Macaca fascicularis: one gene and its partner. The protein of the gene in region 1 interacts with the protein of each later gene in a biochemical or structural test. Links are inferred from orthologs where the notes say so. Each region holds a gene or a part of one and is shown in the gene's direction. Other genes may lie near its edges.

The links.
Region 2: the proteins of PRKN (region 1) and UBE2V1 form a complex in vitro, tested with the Homo sapiens proteins (4 studies listed by BioGRID). The link is inferred for Macaca fascicularis from reciprocal best matches to the Homo sapiens genes PRKN and UBE2V1.

Annotation. Positions count from the first base shown.
Region 1 is NC_088378.1:8,399,964-8,410,156, forward strand, and holds the start of PRKN (E3 ubiquitin-protein ligase parkin), read left to right. Parts: upstream 1-4,557; 5' UTR 4,558-4,676; coding exon 4,677-4,683; intron 4,684-10,193. Other genes in the region: PACRG (parkin coregulated gene protein), read right to left, coding at 3,951-4,106. UniProt on the Homo sapiens protein: Functions within a multiprotein E3 ubiquitin ligase complex, catalyzing the covalent attachment of ubiquitin moieties onto substrate proteins. Substrates include SYT11 and VDAC1.
Region 2 is NC_088384.1:106,200,322-106,210,778, reverse strand, and holds the start of UBE2V1 (ubiquitin-conjugating enzyme E2 variant 1), read left to right. Parts: upstream 1-4,188; 5' UTR 4,189-4,225; coding exon 4,226-4,247; intron 4,248-5,772; exon of another isoform or gene 5,773-6,046; intron 6,047-9,472; exon of another isoform or gene 9,473-9,640; intron 9,641-10,281; exon of another isoform or gene 10,282-10,339; intron 10,340-10,457. UniProt on the Homo sapiens protein: Has no ubiquitin ligase activity on its own. The UBE2V1-UBE2N heterodimer catalyzes the synthesis of non-canonical poly-ubiquitin chains that are linked through Lys-63.

The DNA of each region.
Region 1 (10,193 bases):
GTTTGCTCTTCAGTTCTTCTTGCCTCATTCTTGCAGATTGCTCCATACCCATTTTTCTCTCCCCTACCTGAAGTAGGTGTTGGAGACGATGCCCTTTTGGAACTACATAGCTTCCTTCATCCCTTTCCTGAGGAGAGAGGTATGTGGGCTTGGGTGTTACTTCATGGGTCAAGCTTTCACAGGATTTTGCAAAACGGGAAAATGTAGGTGTATTACTAGGTTCTGGCCAGTTGGATGACAATGAAAGTGGGGTGCTGTGTCCGGGTCATGCCTATAATGGGAAGCTCTCTGCTTCCACTTTCCTCCTTCTTGAGGGCAGGTATTTGACCCTAGTGGTCTCAAGCCCACCTTGTCTCAGGTGTCATTTTACAGGATACAAAGAACAAACATGTTCCTATGTCCCTGCACCCGCCTCACGGGGAAATACTGCCCAACCTCCTGGGATTACCTACAAACTTGAACTTCTATTATGAGAGAAACAACTTCCATTTTAATTAAGCTATTGTTATTTGGTCTCTGTTACAGCAGCCAAATTAATATCTTAATATAGAATGTATAAATATTGATGATTACCACTACATGTTAAATAAGAACATGATTGGACGCACTATACATGTAAAGTACAGGTTGAACTATCCCTTATCTGAAATGCTTCGGACCAGAAGTGTTTTGGATTGGTTTTTGTTTTTTGTTCAAATTTGGAATACAGTCGTCCCTCAGTCTCCATGAGGAATTACTTCCAGGACCTCCTGCAGATACCAAAATCTGCTGATGCTCAAGTCCCTGATATAACATGGCATAGTATTTGTATATAACCTACACATTTCCACCCGTATACTTTAAATCATGTCTATATTACTTATAGTATCTAAAACAACATAAACTCTATATAAATAGCTGCTATGCTCTATTGTTTAACAGGGAATAATGACTAAAAAAAAAAAAAGTCTGTACATGTTCAATACAGATAAAATTTTTGTCCTAAACATTTCAATCCAAGGTTAGTTGAATCCACGGAGGCAGAATCTGTACAAAGAGCTGAGTATATCTGTATTATACACTGGTGGTCATGCCAATTCTGAAAATCTGAAATCCAAAATGCTTGAAAGAGAGTTTTCTTTGAGTGTAATGTCAGCACTCAAAAAGTTTTGTATTTTGGACCATTTCAGGTTTCAGACTTTTGGAATAGGAATACTCAACCTTTAATATTAAAAAAATATGTATTTATTCCATTCCCCTAAACTTTGAGCATAAAGCATCTATAGTCTATTGAGAAGGAAAGCTGTAATAGAAAGCTTAGGCTAAACTCAACTTCCCTGTCACCATAAACCTGGGTCAATTTTCTAATTTGCTTCATGATAAGCATGTTCAGCACAGAAAGCATCTGACAAGATGAAGACAACAAAATGCTTGGTTAATAGTTTCTGGTCATAGGCTCTATCGCAACCCAAATAAAGCCTTTAAAAGGAAAATGAACTTTGAAATCTTCAAATTGTGTATCTCTTACATCTCTTTATAGGCAAGCACTATAAAAATGTGAATTTGAATATTATTTGATGGCAGGGCTTTTGTGATGCTTGTTTTCTTATAGAATGCAACAAAAATTTCATGGAAACAAAGTCTACTTTCTATTGAAGAACAATACTTGACATTGAGATTTTAAAAATTTTGCCATTTACATTTATCATTATTTTTCAATAATTTTGCGCTCTCATATCCAGACTGACTGTTTAAATAAGCATTTCTGCCTGCACAGCCCATTTGATGAAACATATTTATGATCAAGTTTATGTACTTGTATCACTATTGCACTCAAAGAAATATCAGGAGTCTCTGTGTAACTCCTTAGGATATATAAAATTCTTCATGTTTTAAGTGGAAGAGCATTGGAATGGTGACTTATCTAACTGGAAAAGTGGTTTGGAGGGTATTGGCCTTTGAGCATGAGGTCGCAATTAAGAAAAGCTGGAAATTGTCATACATATCCTGAATCGAAATACACCTTCAGAAAGAGATGAGGATATTTTGATCTTATAATGCTGAAAAGTCTATACTGCTAAAGATAAAAATGGTGAAATGTAAATATTGGTTATGAAATGGAAAATTTTTATTTCTTGTACCACTGAAGTTATTTTGTATAAACAGTATTGTCTAGCTTTCTTTTATCAAGATTTGAATGTTGTTATTTTGGTTTACCTTGGAGTACTAAGGGCAGGGACTTTGCTTTGCTGATCCCAAATCCCCAGAACTGTGCTTAACAAGTATTGGGTATTAAAAAAAGAGAGAGAGAGAGTTGTTGACTGAATAAGTAGATGAATGGATAAATAATCTTTGCATTTAAGAATTATGATTTCCAATGGCAAGAGAAGTATTGCTAGCACAAGATTTTCCTTTAGAATATAAAAAGATAAGATAATGTATCACAAATAAGTTCTTTATAAAGAAGCCTGCTTCATAATCAATGTGGTTCTTTTAAAGTCATGTAGGCATATTTACTACATCTGGCAATATAGAAACATTAGATTTTGCAGAACTATCTCTTTAGGCGTAGGATTATATTAAAGAATTAACATGATACAAGAATTATGAACACAAGTTTAGGAAATAACAGAAAAGAACCCTGACCAGTAAAAAAAAAAAATTGTGATATTCAATTATAACATTAAAAAACACCAAAATTGTAAATATTGTGTAGAAGAAAACTAAATTATTAACTTGAATGGTTATGGTATTGCTGATAAATGCATCATCTTGACTCCTAGGAGAACCAATTTATGTGAAATTCCATGAAAAAGAATTAGTTACAACAAGCAGAATTTTAGTCTATTTCCAAGAATTTTAACTACTGTAAATCACCTGACACACTTCTCAATAATTAGGATATCATTTTGCATAACCACATGGGAACCTGGCCTAGAGGTCTATAGGTAATCTGTTTCATTCATGTATTTTAAGTATGTCATTTAGGAATAAGTTATTAGGTTTACAACATATAAGCAAAGGAAATAATGTGACACTGGAAAACAACATTACTCATTTAACATAATGAATTGCCACATGTAATAACTCAGATCTTCCCAGGGTGTAAATTATATGAATTTGAAAGCTGCATTTATTATTTAATGCCTCATTCCCAGACAGGTGCTTACTCAGTAGCAAAATCTGCCTTAGCATACCAAGTGTAAAGCTATGTAACAAATAGGAAGGTTTAAAAAATAGATACTATCATGCAGACAGCTAAAATATTTGTATGTATTTTTAATCTTTTTTTCCTCTAATGATACTTAGAATATTTTATTTTTGTTACTACAAATAATGCAGATGAAATATGAATTGTATTAGTAGCAGAGACACATGAGCTAAAGCTTGTATTGTTTAAAGCACATCATCTTAAAAGGCCTGTCAGGAAACAGTGTTCATATTAAGTGGGCTTTCAGTACTCTAACAAGATGACATCATTTTCTAAGAGACAAGTGTTGTTAGAGTAACTGCTAGGATATTCCAAAATTTCTCATTATAGATTATTTAATGAGTTTATGTTCCCAGTTGTATATCAGCTCATGTTAAATTTTGCAAGAGTTTATGATTTCTAAGAGCTCATCTTCTGTAAGGCCCTTTGCTGAGTGGGGTTAGTTAGCAATCAGTAATTAAAGGGGATCTTTTTACCTCGTGTAAATAGCGTAAGAGTAATTTTGGGCGGTTTAGAAACGATGAGTTATCAGGAAGGTGCTTATCAATGGGCAGAGTATATCATTTGCCCAGGATTCTAACAACCTAGCCTGCCCCCCACACACTGTGGGGGACCGTCTGCTACTTGCCAAGTAATTGCCATTTTTGGCAAAGACCACCCAGGACATGGGCTCAGAGTCCATCCTAGGGCTGGCCAACCTCTGTAAATCTCGTGTCCCCTGATACGGAGCGAGTGCATTCAATTCAGGAAGATCACTTACGACTGAGTTTTTCATCATGGCTTTGACTGTGAAGCCCTCAGAAACCAGGGAGTGAGGCTGGTGCACCGGGAGCGGCTGTTGTGCCAGCAGCTTGGTCCTCTTCGGCATCTTGTCTGGGCATTTGTTTAAGCTCAGGGTCTCTTTTTCTGCCACCATCTTCCTAGAAAATGTCTTGTTCTCATAAAAAGTGTAGTAAAAGAATCAGTGGGTTTTACGGATGTGAGCAGGAGGTCGGGAAAAAAATGTCAAAAGGCGCGTTAATGGTAGAAATTCAACCCCTCGTAGTGCCCAGGTTGATCCAGATGTTTGGCAGCTCCTAGGTGAAGGGAGTTTAGGGGAGGGGTGGGGCGGGAAGAGGGCAGGACCGTAGCTAGAGCTGCAACAAGCTTCCAAAGGTAAGCCTCCCGGTTGCTAAGCGACTGGTCAACACTGCGGGCGCATAGCTCCGCCCCTCGGTGACGTACGATTGCTGGGCCTGAAGCCGGAAAGGGAGGCGGCGGTGAGCTGGAGGGCAGGAGGCGTGAGGAGAAACTACGCATTAAAACTACGACTCCCAGCAGGCCCTGGGCCGCGTACCCTCCGCGCGTGCGCATTCCTAGGGCCCGGCGCCGGGGCGGGGAGCCCTGGAAGATTTAACCCAGGAGAGCCGCTGGTGGGAGGCGCTGGCTGGCGCCGGTGCGCGCGTAGGCCCTTTCCTGGCCCGCAGCCGCCACCTGCCCAGTGACCATGATAGGTACGTGGGTACCTGCCAGGTACAGCCTCATCTGCGCCGCCCTGCGCCCCGGTGTGGCCTCGGCCGACCTGGACCCCAGGTGCCAACTGTCAGTGACGGGGCCAAAGTGCCCATGCCGTACCCGGCCCGCACCGCCGGGCTCTCCAGCTCAGCGACGCGGGCCCGGGGCCCCAGTGTGTGCGTTCCAAGCCCTCGCCCGCCCGCCCCTGCTCTGAGCGTTCCCGTGAAGACCGCCTCACCGGGGACGCCAGGCGGCCCCGCACCCCCGGTCCTCGCTCATGGTCCCCCGGACCGTGTAGGGTCCCGAAGCCTTCGCCCCGCCGCCGCCCCTCGCCCTCGAGGCCCTGGCCAGTTGTCGTGCGGTTCAGGACCCATCGAGACCCACTCTTTGTGGGGCTCTTTCAGGAAACCCCAGCAAAGCATTAAACTCTAATGGAAGGCACCTGGTGAGGGTGGCTGGGCGCCACAGAAACTCCTCCAGATGAATCTAAACTTCTTGCTCCCTCGGATGTTTCCTTTTAAACTTCTCGTTGGAGGGCTGAGGTGAAAGAAAAATTGAGAGTAAATAATAGCCAAGATTACATCTACTGCCTTTTGCAATATAACTTTTTTTTTTTTTTTTTTTTTTGGTAAAACACAATGACCGAGGTGCAATTTTGTGAACAAAACTTAGTGGCATCAGAGTTGTTCATGAACACTTGATGTGTAAGATGAGCAAAGGTGCAAAGGTCCTCTTCCAGGGTTGTTGAACCAAAAACTACTTTAGGGGCTGTCCCTAAAAATGAATGGAAATGCACCATATGTTTAGAAGCCAGTGCTATATGGGGTTTCATTATTGTGGAAGTTTCTCCAGGTTATGTATGGAGGGTTTAGTGAGCTTGTTTAGGGCTAATTCCTGAGGAGCGTCCCTTACAAAACACTTTTGATTGCAGTAAGTACGTTCGAAGTCAGATGTGGTCTGTCCAGAAGTAAGGTGAGAGGTGGATTCATAAAATATATGATCTTTATGCACTGAAAACACGTACTACATCTGTTTTTATTTATGAAGTTATTGTTAAAATGTAAACATTCTGCCCATCAGTGGGAGAATCAAGCCAGCTAACTGGCATTGTCTTTGTCTCTGTGGTAAAACAAGAATGTTGTTCAGCCTTCCCTTTCTAGCATGGTCTGACTTTTGGTGAATGACTTGAAAGTTAACCAAATTATGAAAAAGTTATAATTTTTTGAGTTTTCTTGAGCTCTTTTTAGGTGACATTTACGTAAGATTCACTTGTAAGCACAAGTCTGAACTGAATCAGAAAACCAAGTAGAAGAGATTTTCCAAAATCCGTGCTATCAGTAGTCTACAGGAAGAAAATAGCCTATACCTTATTTTGAAGACAGTTAAATACATTTTATTTTAATTTAACTTAATCTAGTGCACAGATAATTTTAAGAGAAACAAATTTATTGTAAAGCTATATGAAGACAGGCACTTAAGATCTGGGATTGGAGGCGTAAGCCACCACGCCCAGCCTCATTAGCCACATTTCAGTAAACATCTGAATGGCCAGTTTGAGATTTGGGTGTGGTGAACAGTGCTAAAGGTAGGTGAAAGTGAAAACCATTAAAAGGAAGCCTTGGAGTGATGGATTTTGTGTTTTTGTGACAAAAATTCAGAGCGAGGAAAGACATTATAGATTTTATCCAGTGATCAGTTGGAGATCAAAATGTAAATAGTATGTATCTGGGATTTTCTGTTAAAGGTAAGAGTGCTTCTCAAAGCTTGCTCCTTTCAGGCCTATGCTTTCTCTGTTACACTCACCTTGTTGCGGGATTCAGGAGGACGAGAGAGACCTCGGGTTGAAACAGGAGAATCTTGATCGAGTGCACTCAGGCCCAGCTGACTCACATGCAATAGACTGGGCCCAGAATAAAGACAGTACTTGACTTTTATACACACTTCACAAAAGGAGGTGGGCTAGCTTGAAGCAAACTTACGGTGGTGGCAAAGCAGGGATACAGAGGCAGGACAAAGGCAGGACTGCACATGGCCATCGCCAAGCAACCCAGATGTTCGTTATCTAGGTTTCCCTGGGCACAGGCTTATCCTATAACCTTCACTATGGTGCCCAGGCAGCTGTAGTTCAGGCCTACTCAGGCTTCTCATGACCTTCGTTGTGCTTCTTAGATAAAACAGAATACTTGAAATCACTAGTTACAGAGAACAAGAGTCTATAAACTGATTCCATAAAACAAAGGAAAATTTGTTTTTCTTCTCCCTGTGTTGAGGGAGTGCTGGGAGAGTCTCCAGAGCACATTCGATAATATTAGCAAGACTCTTCCTGGATCTGGGCTGTGCTGTTGCTGCCTCTGGGACAAGTTAGCCTAAAACAGGAAAACTTATTTCTTTTTCTTTTTAATTTTATTTTTCTTTAATTTCCCGCCCCAACCTTAATGCAAATAATATTCTGCCAGTTGGAGAAACGTAAAGATGGGTTTCCTGGTAGAAGAGGAGTAAACAAGACTGACTGCGACCTAACTGCTAGTGGAATGTGCCTTCCTTTTACTTTCTCAAAACCAAAGATTCCCTTCTTGGGATGAGGACTGTTTCATAAGTCCTTACATTTCCCACCTGGATTGCGATTGATATGTTGAATGCCCTGACCTGGGCAGCTATGGAAACGTAATTTAATTGAAGTCGGTTAAAAATTGTGCCTTTGTGGAAGGTGTGGAGAAGGACTTCAAGATAATATAAAGCAGAATAGAAAAGCTTAAAAGAATTCAACGTAGAAAAGTGTAATTTTTGGTATCTCTATTAAAAATATATTTTGACTTTGTAAAAAATGATCAGTTTTTTGTATTTAAAATGGAATGTTAGTGGTGATAATTTGTGGTATGTTCTAAATGTTCTGTAGAACTGGATTTAGGTATTTGAGTAACAGCAGATATTAGAGTGCTTGGTTATATATACACCAATGTTGTCAGTATTGAAATACACATTCAGTGTCTTATACTTTTAAGAAGATTTTTGATTGACAAAAACCATTCATTGGAACATAGTCTCTTCTATACCTTGTTTCACTTAGCATCTCTTTGAGAATTTACATATCTGCATGTACAGATTCACTCCACAGCAGTTCCTGCCTAGTGTTTTATAGGATACACTAATGAAAATATTTACCAACAAATAAGCACTCATCAGGTTTACAGACGACTGTTATCAGAAATGTTTGTGGACATATCTTTTTACTTGCACATGTAAGCATATATGTAAAAGAGAAATCGTATGACAATTTGAGTTAAAGAGTTTGCAGATTTAAAATATTCCTAGGTATTTCAAAATTTTTCTAAAATAAGTTGCCCTATTTTACAAAGCTATCTAAAGCCTCCACGAATACAACATGGTAGTAAAGAGCTGCCCTGCCCCTCTGGCCTGAAAATTACCAAAAGACGTCCTTCCCGAGACTGACTCAGCTTTCACTAGCAGAACACCTCCTAGATCTCCAGTCCCCACCTCTCTCTCACCCTAGGTGTAGTGCCTTTCAGTGTACAAGCTGCACAACTGTCCTTGGTGGCCCTGCCCTCCCTTTCAGTGTGTATAAGGGTGCCCATTTCCTCCCATGTGCCATCAAAGATTTTTTATTTTTGCCCTCTTGACAGATGAAAAACAGCATCTTTTAACTTTGCAAATTAATTTAGAAGAAAACTTCCCATTTTCATCTTATAATGCGTTAGTTTCACAAAAGCAGATGCGGTGATTTCAGCACCTGCTGTGTACCCTTAACTGCTCTAGGTGCCAGGGAAACGAGGGAACAGAGCAGAAAAAGTCCCTTGCCATCAGGAATGTGCATTCTGACTTCACCATTTGCCCATATATCTGCATGTTTGTTTTCAAGCGTGTGTGCAGTGAATTTTAAAGTCTCAATTTATATTTCTAGTTGAATATTCTGTGTACTACTCTTTGCCCTGCCATTTTAATAAGTTGATGAAAAGCAGCTCTATGCCTAAGTACCCCAAAGCTTCTGTTTATGATGAGGTAAAATTGTGTCAAAAATAGGCTCTAATAAAGTTTTGCATAGAAGATTTTATGTAATTATATAATAGTTTTTCCTTGAGTCGGTCCAAAAGCTCTAAAATGACCCTTTGTCCTTTACAGTTTTGGCCCTATTTCTGAGGATATTTTTGAAGTCTGCATTTTTTGAAACCTCATAGTTTCATTGCCTGAAAATGATACAATGAAAGTACTTTGTATTAAGATATGTAAATCCATTCCTACCTCCAAAGCTTTTTTGAAAGATGCAGGAAAAAAAAAAGAGTTCTTACTTCGAAATGCTTCATATTCCTGAGAGCAGTTTTAATGCAAAAAACTTTATTCTGTTAGCTTTTAGTTCTTTGATCAATGAAAATTGCTTCTTACCTACTGTTTCTTCAGCCTTTAATTGTAGCCCAGTGCTTATTCAATGTTTCTGTTTTCATTTGCATTTAATGAGCTCATTTTAAATGTTTCTTTGTAGTAATCTGAATGGTTTCTCTCCCTAAATTTTGTAACATTAAAGAAAGAGACTCATGTGACAGTTGGCTGATTTATGTTACAGCTTCCCTCCCTGGCTGATTTACTTCATCCTGTAGGATAGAATCTTGGTTCAAAGGAAATACAGTAGCAGGATTCTTTCCCCCAGTAATTTCCTAATTACCTAGGACTCTAACAGATTCACTCAAATGTCTGTTTTTCACCAAATAGAAACCTTTTTTCCTTGGATGAATAGGTATTTAAATTTATGATTATTCAGTGTCATTTCTTTATACCATATGTATTAGGTGGTGCTGGGTAGGGGTGGGTACACACAGGTTGTATATATCTATATATTGCCTATGGGGAAGGCACATACAAATGACCATTTCTTCCCAATGAGTTTATGGCCTAGTTGGGCTGATTAGGCTTACATTAGTGGTATAGATTCCACCTTCACCACTGCAGCAGAAGAGTAATTAGAAAGATGTATGTATGTATCAGCACACACATATGTGCCTGCAACATGTGATTTTTTATGTTTCTTTTGCTCATGTGATTCTCTTCGAATGCCCTTTCTTTCTGTTGTATGTCTGAAAACTACTGTTCATTATTTAAGATCCAATTCCAATGGCACCAACTTCATATGAAATTTTATGTGTCACCTTCTCACCCTCTTTTCAGTGTGGGGCAATTAACACCTCCTTTACAGTCAGCCAAGATATTAGCAACTACCCTTCATCAGGTTCTTGTTCATAGTCTAGAAGGGGTACAGAAAAGTAAAGATTTACAAACCTGAAAGGTGGGTATCATGATACAGGTTTATACAAGGGAGAACTGGAAAGCTCAGCCTATTGAGCGTAGAAGATCCAATTATTTCCCAGTGGAGCCATTCCAGTTGTCCTGCAGGACAAGTAGGAGTTAACTAGGTGAAGGAGGCCTTCTAGACAGGCATGGAGGGGAGAGAAGAGAATGGAATGAAAGGTATCTGGTGAGGCTGGCAGGCACACCAGATAAG
Region 2 (10,457 bases), on another chromosome or scaffold:
TTTTTGATTTTCCACCTTTCGAATATACTTTTTCAAACTACTCATGCCTTTCACATCCCTGAGATTCCAAACCAGCCCTAGTGTTTTCTCACTTGAGAACAGAGTTCATGAATGAACACTGCAGAACAGTCAGGTCTATATGCCTCTCAGCTGAACCATTGCATCAGCTTCCTGTATCGATGAGGTATGCTTTTTGGTGGTAGGTAACAAAAACCTACCTTTAAGAACAACTTAAGCAACAGGCACATTATCTCACGTCTTCAGAAGTCTGCAGGTGGGCAGCCCCGCGATTCCTTTAGCAGCTCAGCGATATCACCCAGGATTCTGGTTCTAATCATTACAACCTCATATGGTAGGAAGGAGGAAAGGGGACAAAAATAGGCTTTTTCTTCAGCTTTTTTGTTCGTTTGAGACGGAGTCTCACTCTATCACTCAGACTGGAGTGCAATGGCGTGATCTTGGATCACTGCAACCTCTGCCTCCCAGGTTCAAGCGATTCTCGTGCCTTAGCCTCCCAGGTAGCTGGGATTAAAAGCATGAGCCACCACTCTCAGCTAATTTTTGTATTTGCAGTAGAGACAGGGTTTTGCCATGTTGGCCAGGCTGGTCTCGAACTCCTGACCTCAGGTGATCCGCCCGCCTCGGCCTCCCAAAGTGTTCGGATTACAGGCGTGAGCCAGGGCGCCCAACCTTCTCTTCAGCTTTTATGAGGGGAGGCAAAGTTTCCAAACACCCACCCCGCCATGTGGGGACATGGCAACTGGACTGGCAGTAAACAGTGCCCAACACACCTCTCTGGGTTCCCTGCCACCAATATTGCTGCTGCCCAGTTGGGTGTCCTCACCCTGTCTCCTCATGGCAGCACGATGCACTTTGCAAAAAGGCAAACCTGCCCACATTTTGCTCAAAACCTCCCAGGCTCCACCTCCCTCATCACAGGAGAGTCAGCAGGTGACACAGGATAAAGAAAACTGGATTCCAGAACTGATTTTACTCCTTCCTTGTGTGACCTTGGAAAAGCCATCTAACTCCTCTAAGCCTCAGTTTTCTCATCTCACAAATGGAAATGGTAACAGCTACTTTGCAAGGGTCATTGAGGATTAAGTAATAATAGCAGCTAATACTTATATTGCACTTAGTGCCAAGCGCTTTTCTAAATTCTCTAGTTTTATTAACCATTTTAATCTTCCCCAAAATCCGATAAAACAAGACTCTTATCCCCATCAGCTGAGTTTATCAGCTCAAGCGCACAGCGGCGACCAGGCGCAGGCGCCGGGAGGAATCCCGCTCTGGGGACCGGTTGTGACGTCCAGGAATGGGGTAGAGCCTCTTCGAGGGGGCGTGTGCGCGGGACGTACTATAACTCCCACCAGGCACCGCGCCAACGCCAGCCTACAATAACCAGCATGCCCCGGGCTGTCCCGCTTAACCTCTTCCTGCGATGAGCTCTGCACGATAATTATTATTGTCAATTTTACTTGCAAGAAGTTTCCTACAAAAGCCAAGGAATCCATGCGAGTAGACATTTACGGGCATCATGGATAAAAGGCTTGTGTTTTAATCCTCATCCTCCACCTGTTAGCTCTGAGTCTCAGTTTTCTCATCTCTAAAACGGGGATAGTCACAGGAGTTGCGCATCGAGTTGTGAGGATTAAAAGCTGGATGTAACGGCTTGGTAAATATCAGCGCTTCTAGTGTCCCTTCCTCCTCCCTGTGCCAAGGGGTTTTAGGAAAGCATTTTATCTCCACAGCAATCCTATGAGGTTGATACTGCTATCCTCATAGAAGGGGAAACTGATACCAGGAGAGGTTCAAGCGTCTTACCTGAAGTCACAAAGCACACTGAGTGATGAAGGAAGACTTGAACCTAGAAAATTTAACTGCAAAAGTGAGTCCACCTTAGGAACCCAAATGCTTCCACCTGCTACTCATGCTTTACAGTGACCCTAAGTCCAGGGCAAGTATTTTCTGTGCTCCCCAAAGCAAACTTGTATCACGTGATACACGAAAAGTCAAGTTGCTTCACCTGTAGCCAGTGCTGGCACTTTGAGAGCTAATTACAGCTGAATTTGACGTGGTTGAAGGAATCGAGGAAGACTTCCCTGAGGGGGTGGTGCTGGACTGAGAACTGAAGAGTGGAGACAGCACAAGCAAAGCCCCTGAAGTGGGAGAGGCCTTGCGTTCCAGGGGGCTTGCAAAGGGCCAGTGTCGCTGCAGAGGTACAGAAAGTCTCAGAGGCGCAGGCTGTGCCAAGGCTATGATGAGGCAAGTGGGGGACCTAGGGTGCAGAATTTTTTTTTTTTTTTTGAGACAGAGTCTCGCTCTGTTGCCCAGGATGGAATGCAATGGCGCGATCTCGGCTCACTGCAACCTCTGCCTCCCGGGTTCAAGCGATTCTCCTGCCTCAGCCTCCCGAGTAGCTGGGATTACAGGCGCCTGCCACCACGCCCAGCTAATTTGTATTTTTAGTAGAGACAAGGTTTCATCATGTTGACCAGGCTGGTCTGGATCTCCTGACCTCAGGTGATCCGCCCACCTCTGCCTCCAAAAGTGCTGGGATTACAGGCATGAGCCACTACGCCCTGCCCTAGGGTGCAGATTTTAAGGAGTCACTCACCTGCAGGGCTGTACAAGTGCAGAGTCAGGACCTGAGTGAAAGCCCCGTTAAATCTGATGGCCCCATCCTCGTCCAAGCCCTGGATGCAAAGCCTTGTGCACAGGGTGTCCAGGCATCCTGGTTTGCCCTGGAGAGCCCTGGTTTCCACTTGCCCTGGTGAGATTATAATAGGTCCTCTTTTAATCTGATGAGTGTCCTCATTAGGTGATAATCTATGGTCACTCAACTTGTAGAGTTTGCATTTTATCCAGAGGGAATAGGGAGCCACTGAAGGCTTTAGCTGGAGGGTGTTTTGAGCAGATGTTGGTCCATATGGAGAATGGACCATGGGGGAGAGAATGGAAGCTGCCGGGGTCTTCCAAGTAGGAGATAAAGACAGCTTGTCCTGAGTGGAGAAGTGAATGGAGCAGGAGAGATGCAGAGTAGGCATTGTTGTCAGACAAAGGTGATGAATTGGATGTGCTGGGTGAGGGCTTCCAGCTTCCTTGTCCCTCTTTGTTTAGAGTCCTAGTCCTTCTGCCAGTATTTTGCTCTGTGACCTTAAGCCAGTCCCTTCACCTGTCTCAGCTTCAGGGTCTACATCCATATAAGGGCTTCTCAGACAATTTATAATATAGGAGGATTAACTTCTTGGGTTTATTTGCAAAAATATTTCCCGAGGGCCTTTGCACAAGCTGTTCCCTCTACCTCCTCATTGTTAGGGTCTCTGTTGAAATACGACCACGTTAGGAAGCCTTTCCTGACCATCCTCCGCTGCCCTTTTCTTGGTTTATCTCTAGCCTATCAGAATTGTAGTTTCCTGTTTATTTACTTGCTATCTATGACTAGAATGGAAGCCCCTGAAAGCAGGGATTTGCTTCTTCAGAGATGTCTATCCATCCCCAGCTCCTAGCACAGTGTCTGGTACATAGTAGGTGCTTAATGTTTGTTTGGTTGAATGAATGAACGAACGAATGAGTGAATGAATGAATTGGGCAGATGGTTAGCAAATGTTTTCCCTGCCACCTTATTGCCCCCAAATCATTTAGCTGCACCCACTTCAAGCCTTCTCTGGCCAGGGAGCATCAATCCTAGAAGCCAGATCATCTGACCTGGAGGGTGACGATTCAAATTCAAATTTGAACCTGGAGGTTAAAATTCTGTCTGTCTCTGCCACTTAACAGCTGAGTTTAGATAAATCGTTTAATCTCTCTCGGCTGCATTTTTCACATTAATTCCGACCTTGTGGAGATGTGGTGAGGATCTAGATAGGAACTAGACAGGAAAAAGCCCCAAGTGAATTCGGCGCTTTTGTTTGAAGCTATCTTTTCTTTTTCTTTCACAATCGCGCCTTCCCAAGCCTCGTCACCCCTGCCCTTCTCACTAAGCACGTCACAACCTCCCTCGCACCCGATGTGGGGGGACTTGCAGGTTGCTGAGCCCTCGAGCACGCAGATATTTCCTTTCTCTAAAAGGGAAGGAAAAGAGCCTCCCCGGCCTCGGGTCGCGCAGGTCTCCGGAGCGGGCGTCAGTGGCGGCGTCTGTGCGTGCGCGCGCGCCTGCGCATCAGGGCCAGGGGACGGGTGGGGGGTGAAGAAGGGGCCGGCCTTCAAGCAACAGCGACGCAAGATGGCAGCCACCACGGGCTCGGGTGAGCGGGGGCGCCGGGCCCGGCCGGCCGAAGGGGCATGGGCTTGGGCCGGGGGCTGGGGACTCTCAAAGGCTCCTGCAGGGGGGCCAGGGTCCCCGCGCCGCCTCTGTCCGGTGGGCTCCGCTGCAGCCACGGGCAGGCGGTGGCCGGAAGCACGGGCGGGGGGCTGAGGGGCCTGTGGGCGGCGCGGCGAGCCTTAAGGCTCCCCCGGGAGGCGTGAGGGCCCCGCTGCGCTACCTGGGGGAGCCGGAGTGGGCGAGGAGCGAGCTCCAAGGCACTTCTGAGGAGACCGGGGCTGGCGACTCTTTAAGGGGCGACCAAGGGGTTCCTTAGAGGAGGAGGCGCCCCACAGCGGATGGAAGTCCCGTACTGGGTGCCAGGGGTGCGGCTGAGGGGGGGGCCTTGGGATGTCTGGAGGGGACATCAGAGGAGCCCCTCAAGCTGGATGGGAGGAAGAAACGGGATCCTGAGGGGGTGACTCGAGAGGATCCCCTATTGGTTGAGGGGACGGCTCCGGCGTTAGTTTTAGAGATAGGGTTAGCCGAGGAAATAGCTGTGTTGACTAGAAAGGAGGAGCCTTGGAGCGGCTGCTTTTGGGGAGAATTAAGGAATCTCCGCATGATAAGTGAGAGCGGGGGGGAAAGGATTCAGATGCCACAGGGACTTGATTGCAGTGATAGTGAAATGACCCCATCATTACCAGTCTCCTATTCGAGGATACAGATGGATTGCTCCAATTTCGCTTTCAGGGGACAGGTCCGTTGGGGCAATTGGTGGAAGCCTCTGATATTGAATGAGGAAGAACAGGTGAATTGGGAATCCCGAGGATGTCTCTTTGGGAGTGGGGATTCAACTGAGGGAAGCCCCTGAAATGAGTTAGTGGAGAAGGTCGGGTTCCAGAGATGTTTCTTGTAAACGAGATAAGTCTCCTCTTTTTGAATTGAGTGAGGGAAGCATATCCTAGAAGTGTCTCTTCTGTGGAGACGCTCACTCTCATCCACTCCTTTGATAATTGGGACAGATATGTGGGTTCAGCTCAGAAGTTCCCCACTGGCTGATGGGAGTAGGGAGGTGAATAGATGAAATGGACACTCTTGGGTGAGGCTGCACCCTCGGGTGCCTGGCAGTGAAGTTGGCCAAGGAGGTGCTCTCAGATGGGGTGAAGATGGGTTACCTCTGATGGAGGAAGGAAACAGAACCACAGTGTTCCCCACTGTGGGGCTGCAGGGACACGAACCTGAGTACGGCAGTCATTGGGGTATTTAAGGCCACAGCAGGGGCAGTGTTGGGAAGGAATTGGTGATCCATGAGAAATAGGGTGAGGGAAATTCTTTACAGTGTTGCTCCTCTGCGGTCTCAAGGAGCCATACTTGTCTGATGGTTGGGGTGAGAATAAAAGAAATTGAATATGGGGGATCTGACTGAAGTGACCCACCAGAAGCTGCTGCCTTTTGCATTTAAAACAGTGGGGTCTTCTTGCAGCATAGCGGAGACCATGAATCCTTTTACTCGATTTTGGTTTCAGCTGGAACAGTGCTGAGTCAATTCATTTACCAAGACGCTGCCCCAGGCACTCCCAGAAGAGAGATTCTGAGTCAGGCCAGACTGCTGGGGGAAACTTCTCACCAGAATAACACTCGTACCAGGTCGTAATGAAGCAAGGGGCCCAGTGTGCTGGCGGTAGCCAGCAATAAGGTGCTGTTGCAGCTCAGCCCTGCTTGCAGTCACTCGGTTGGCTACCTACAATCTGAGTTAACAGGTGCCCGATTCTAACTTCTGGAGACCCTGACAGTTAAAAAGTGAGTGCTTCGTAAATGGCTATGGCGATCAGATAAAATGTCAGCTGCTCTCGAGTGGAATACAAGAGCATTTGGCATGGTTTAAATAACATAGAACAGGCTTTGAGGTGCCCTAAAATGGACTTCCCAAAATTCTTTTTGTCTGTTTATTCAAAAGATATTTACTGAGGGCCTATTATGTCCCATTGTGGATAGCAAACAAAACAGACATAGTCTGTGTCCTTTGGGAGCTTCCATTCGAGTCAAGGAGAGAAGGCTGTTAAGGGGTAAATAAATAAGACAATTTCAGATAGCAGTAAGTGCTATGGAGGAAATTGTGTGATATGATAAAGAGTGTCTGGAGAGGTGGTCAGGGAAGGCTTCTCTGAGAAAGTGACATTTCAACTGAGGGGAATAATGGAAAGCGCCAACCCTACAGTGTCACAGGTAGGAGAGAGGGTGGACTGTGAGTGCAAAGGCCTTGTGGTGGGACTGAGCTTGGCATGTTGAAAGAACAGGATAAAAGGCCTTAGTGTGCAAGCAAGGCTTGTTAAAGAGATGAGTTGGAGAGACATGGCTTTGGATTTGACTTGGTGTGAGGGGAAGCCATCAAACAAGTATCTGGTATGAAGTAGGCAGTCAGTAAATATTTGTTGAATGAATAAATAAGAGTCTTAAAAAGAGGAGTATGGCAAGATCTGACCTAAGTCCCTAGGCAGTGAAAAGAGTGCAGGGTGCTAAGAGTCCCTAGGCAGTGAAAAGAGTGCAGGGTGCTAAGCAGACCTTACTTGGGTTAAACTAAAATGAGTGTACAGGCCTCCCTGCTTTCTAACCCTGAGAAGTCTTCCAGGTGTGGTCAGGGCCCTGAGGCCTTCCTTAGTCAGGTTTAGAGTGAGGCTCTTTATTAATCTGTGCTTCTGGTTGCCAGGAAACAGCTGTGAAGCCTTTGAGTTCCTGTAAGGGCTGAACTTAGTTTTTTATGGTCACTGCTTTCAGCATTTGGCTACACCGCCTTCCCACTTCCTTTGGTTCTGCAATGTGTGGTATCTACATATGTTTTAGAGGGTGGAACTGTGAAAAGCCCACCACAGATCCTCAGAATCCCCATGTTATGACAGTGACTTCCTCCTGCCTTGGCCAGGATTGCAGCACATCAAATAGTGGCCCTTGGTTGCCAGGCCCTTCCTCTCACTTAGCAGCCCACGGGCTTCCCTGACATTTAATCAGAAAGTAAGTGCCAGAGTGGTAAGCCCTGGTGGGGCATGATTTTAAATTTGCATACATCGGAGTGGCCTCATATGCACATTCAACTTATAAAAACTTAACCATAAGGCTGGGTGCTGTGGCTCACGCCTGTAAATCCCAGTACTTTGGGAGGCCGAGGCGGGTGGATCACAAGGTCAGGAGATCGAGACCATCCTGGCTAACACGGTGAAACCCCGTCTCTACTAAAAATACAAAAAATTAGCCGGGCGTGGTGGCAGGTGCCTATGGTCCCAGCTACTCAGGAGGCTGAGGCAGGAGAATGGCGTGAACCTGGAAGGCAGAGCTTGCAGTGAGCCGAGATCGCGCCACTGCACTCCAGCCTGGGCGACAGAGCGAGACTCCGTCTCAAAAACAAACAAACAAAAAACAAAACAAAAAAAAACCTTAACCATGTGGGCAGCAGAGATTAGTCTTCCCTGCCATTCGAGGGTCTTCCTCAGAGAGAGCTGGAAATGGATGAAAACTCACAGTCCCTTAGTTTTTCTCAGTTCCCTTGTGTCTCACTGTGTGAGAATCTTATGCCAATTGTAATTAAGTGCCTTTTTTACAACATGGGCCCTACATTTAAAGAACAGCCTCATATTGTGCTCAGCCAAAGAAATAGTAGCCTGCCCCAGTGATAGAGGGGAAACTGACTTTGTTGGGCTAGTGCAAGCTTTTGTGTTTCTGTGTGTGTGTGTGTGTGTGTGTGTGTGTGTGTGTGTGTGTGTGGCGGAGTTTCGCCCTGTCACCTGGCTGGAGTGCAGTGGTACAATCTCGGCTCACTGCAACCTCCGCTTCCCAGGTTAAAGCAATTCTCCTGCCTCAGCCTCCTGAGTAGCTGGGATCACAGGCACACGCCACCACACCTGGCTAATTTTTGTATTTTTAGTAGAGTTGGGGTTTCTCCATGTTGGTCAGGCTGGTCTCGAACTCCTGACCTCATGATCTGCCCTCCTCAGCCTCCCAAAGTGCTGGGATTACAGGCATAAGCCACCGCGCCGGGCCGCCAGCTATTGTTTTCTTAAGGGATTACCAAGGTTAATTTTGATGATCATGATTTTCCCCCTTCACATTAACTTAAAACCACTCTATTTCCCCCACCACATTCTCTTTTCTCTTCATATCTCTGTCCCTCCCACCTCCCCCCAAATTGTAGCTCTGTAGAAATTTGATAAAAGTAGAATACAAAATATGAAGTCAGGAATCCTCTGCTTAATTTTTTTTTTTTTTTTTTTTTGAGACGGAGTCTTGCTCTGTTGCCCAGGCTGGAGTGCAGTGGCCGGATCTCAGCTCACTGCAAGCTCCGCCTCCCGGGTTTACGCCATTCTCCTGCCTCAGCCTCCCGAGTAACTGGGACTACAGGTGCCCGCCGCCTCACCCGGCTAGTTTTTTGTATTTTTTAGTAGAGACGGGGTTTCACCGTTTTAGCCAGGATGGTCTCGATCTCCTGACCTTGTGATCCGCCCATCTCGGCCTCCCAAAGTGCTGGGATTACAGGCTTGAGCCACTGCGCCCGGCCTCCTCTGCTTAATTTTGAAGGGGCACAATGAAGTTCAGAGTAGCACATTTGGCAAAGTAAATATTTGAATATTATTACTGTTATATTGTTGATAGTGCTTTAGAGTGTCCCATGGACTTTGACTCACCTGTGATGTTGTCTCATCTAACTCTCCACAGCCTGGTCACCAGCCAGGGGCAGTATCCATCCACATTACTGAGGGAGGAGCCAAAGCCAAGGGAGACTGGTGATGCTCAGACTAGAGCCCAGGCATTTTTATCTCCCGTTACCTCCCCAGCCTACTCCAGTACCTTAGGAAGGAAAAGGAAAAGGCATGGATTTAGGGATATGTTCTTCCTAGGTCTTGGAATGTTTAATCTTGGAGAGAGAAAGGGCTTTAGTAAGAAATGTCTGCTGCTACCCATTTCAGGAACGCTTTTTGTAGCATCTCTGGCCACTGTTTGTCCTCTTCTGGGTTATGTGCTGTCCAAGGAGAGTGAGGTCCTTTTTTAAGGAAGCTCTTGCTTATATTTTATACTGAATAACTCACAACTCTTGGGCTTGGAGCCCCATCATGGCATGTACAAAGTAGTTCCTCATCCTTATTTACATGCAAGCCATCAAACTTCTTTTTAAGTTGCACTCCTAGGGTTAACTAACTGCTAGACACTGTATTAACTGCATTATCTCACTTGTCACAGCAGACCATTGTGAAGGGCTGTATCGATTTTGAAGGTGAGGAAACAGGCCAGGAGAGGAGTGACTAGCCTGAGGTGCAGAGCCTGGGTGCTCTGGGACAGTGTTGCTTCAGGACACGTGCTCTTGGCCAGGATGATCGTTCTTTCAGCCCCCATTTCCTATTCTCTGAGGTAGGCCTGCAAGCATCTTCAGCCATTGGCATGTCTGTTGTTGTTTCTGCCTTGGCTGTTTAGCTTATTCGTGGGTAGATAGCAATGGCCTCTCAAGTAGTAGTCTTTCCTCATCTTCACATCCACCCTGTCACAAGTCCAGTAGGTGTAACCCCAAACTAAATGCCAAATCCTCCTTTCTGTCTCCACTCTTGTCATCCTAGTCTAACCAGAACCATCTTTCTCTTGCCTGGAAGATGGAAAAAGCCTCTTGCTTTCAGTCTTGGCCTTTCCACTTTCTATACAGGAGACAGAATGATCTTTCACAGACATAAAACAGAAACTGCCACTCCCCTTCAGAAAGCCCTTCCCACTGCTCTTATTACTGAATAACCCATCCCTTTTCCACGGCCCACAAGGCCCTGCCGCCGTGACTTCATGTGGTATCATATACACCTCTGATCTTACTCTGTCCCCAGATCTTCATGGACCTGACTGCTGTTCTTCAGGTCACAGCTACCCAGAAAGGCCATCCCTGAGCACTCCATTCAATATAGTTTTTCAGTCATTGTCACAGCTTCTTGTTTTGCTCTGTTTCTCTAAAGCACTTAACCTTACCTGAAGTGTTGTTTTGTTGCATATTTTCTATGCCTTTTCACTAGGGCAAGATTCTGTCCCATCTGCTGTGTCCCTAGCACGAGCACAGTTCTGGACCAAATAGTAAGTACTCAGTAAATATTTGTGAATGTTGCAGTGAGTTAATTCAGGATCTTTTTGATGTAGCCAAATGGATACATTTGACAATTTGCGGAGAAACAGTGTATCTGATAGGGCGGAA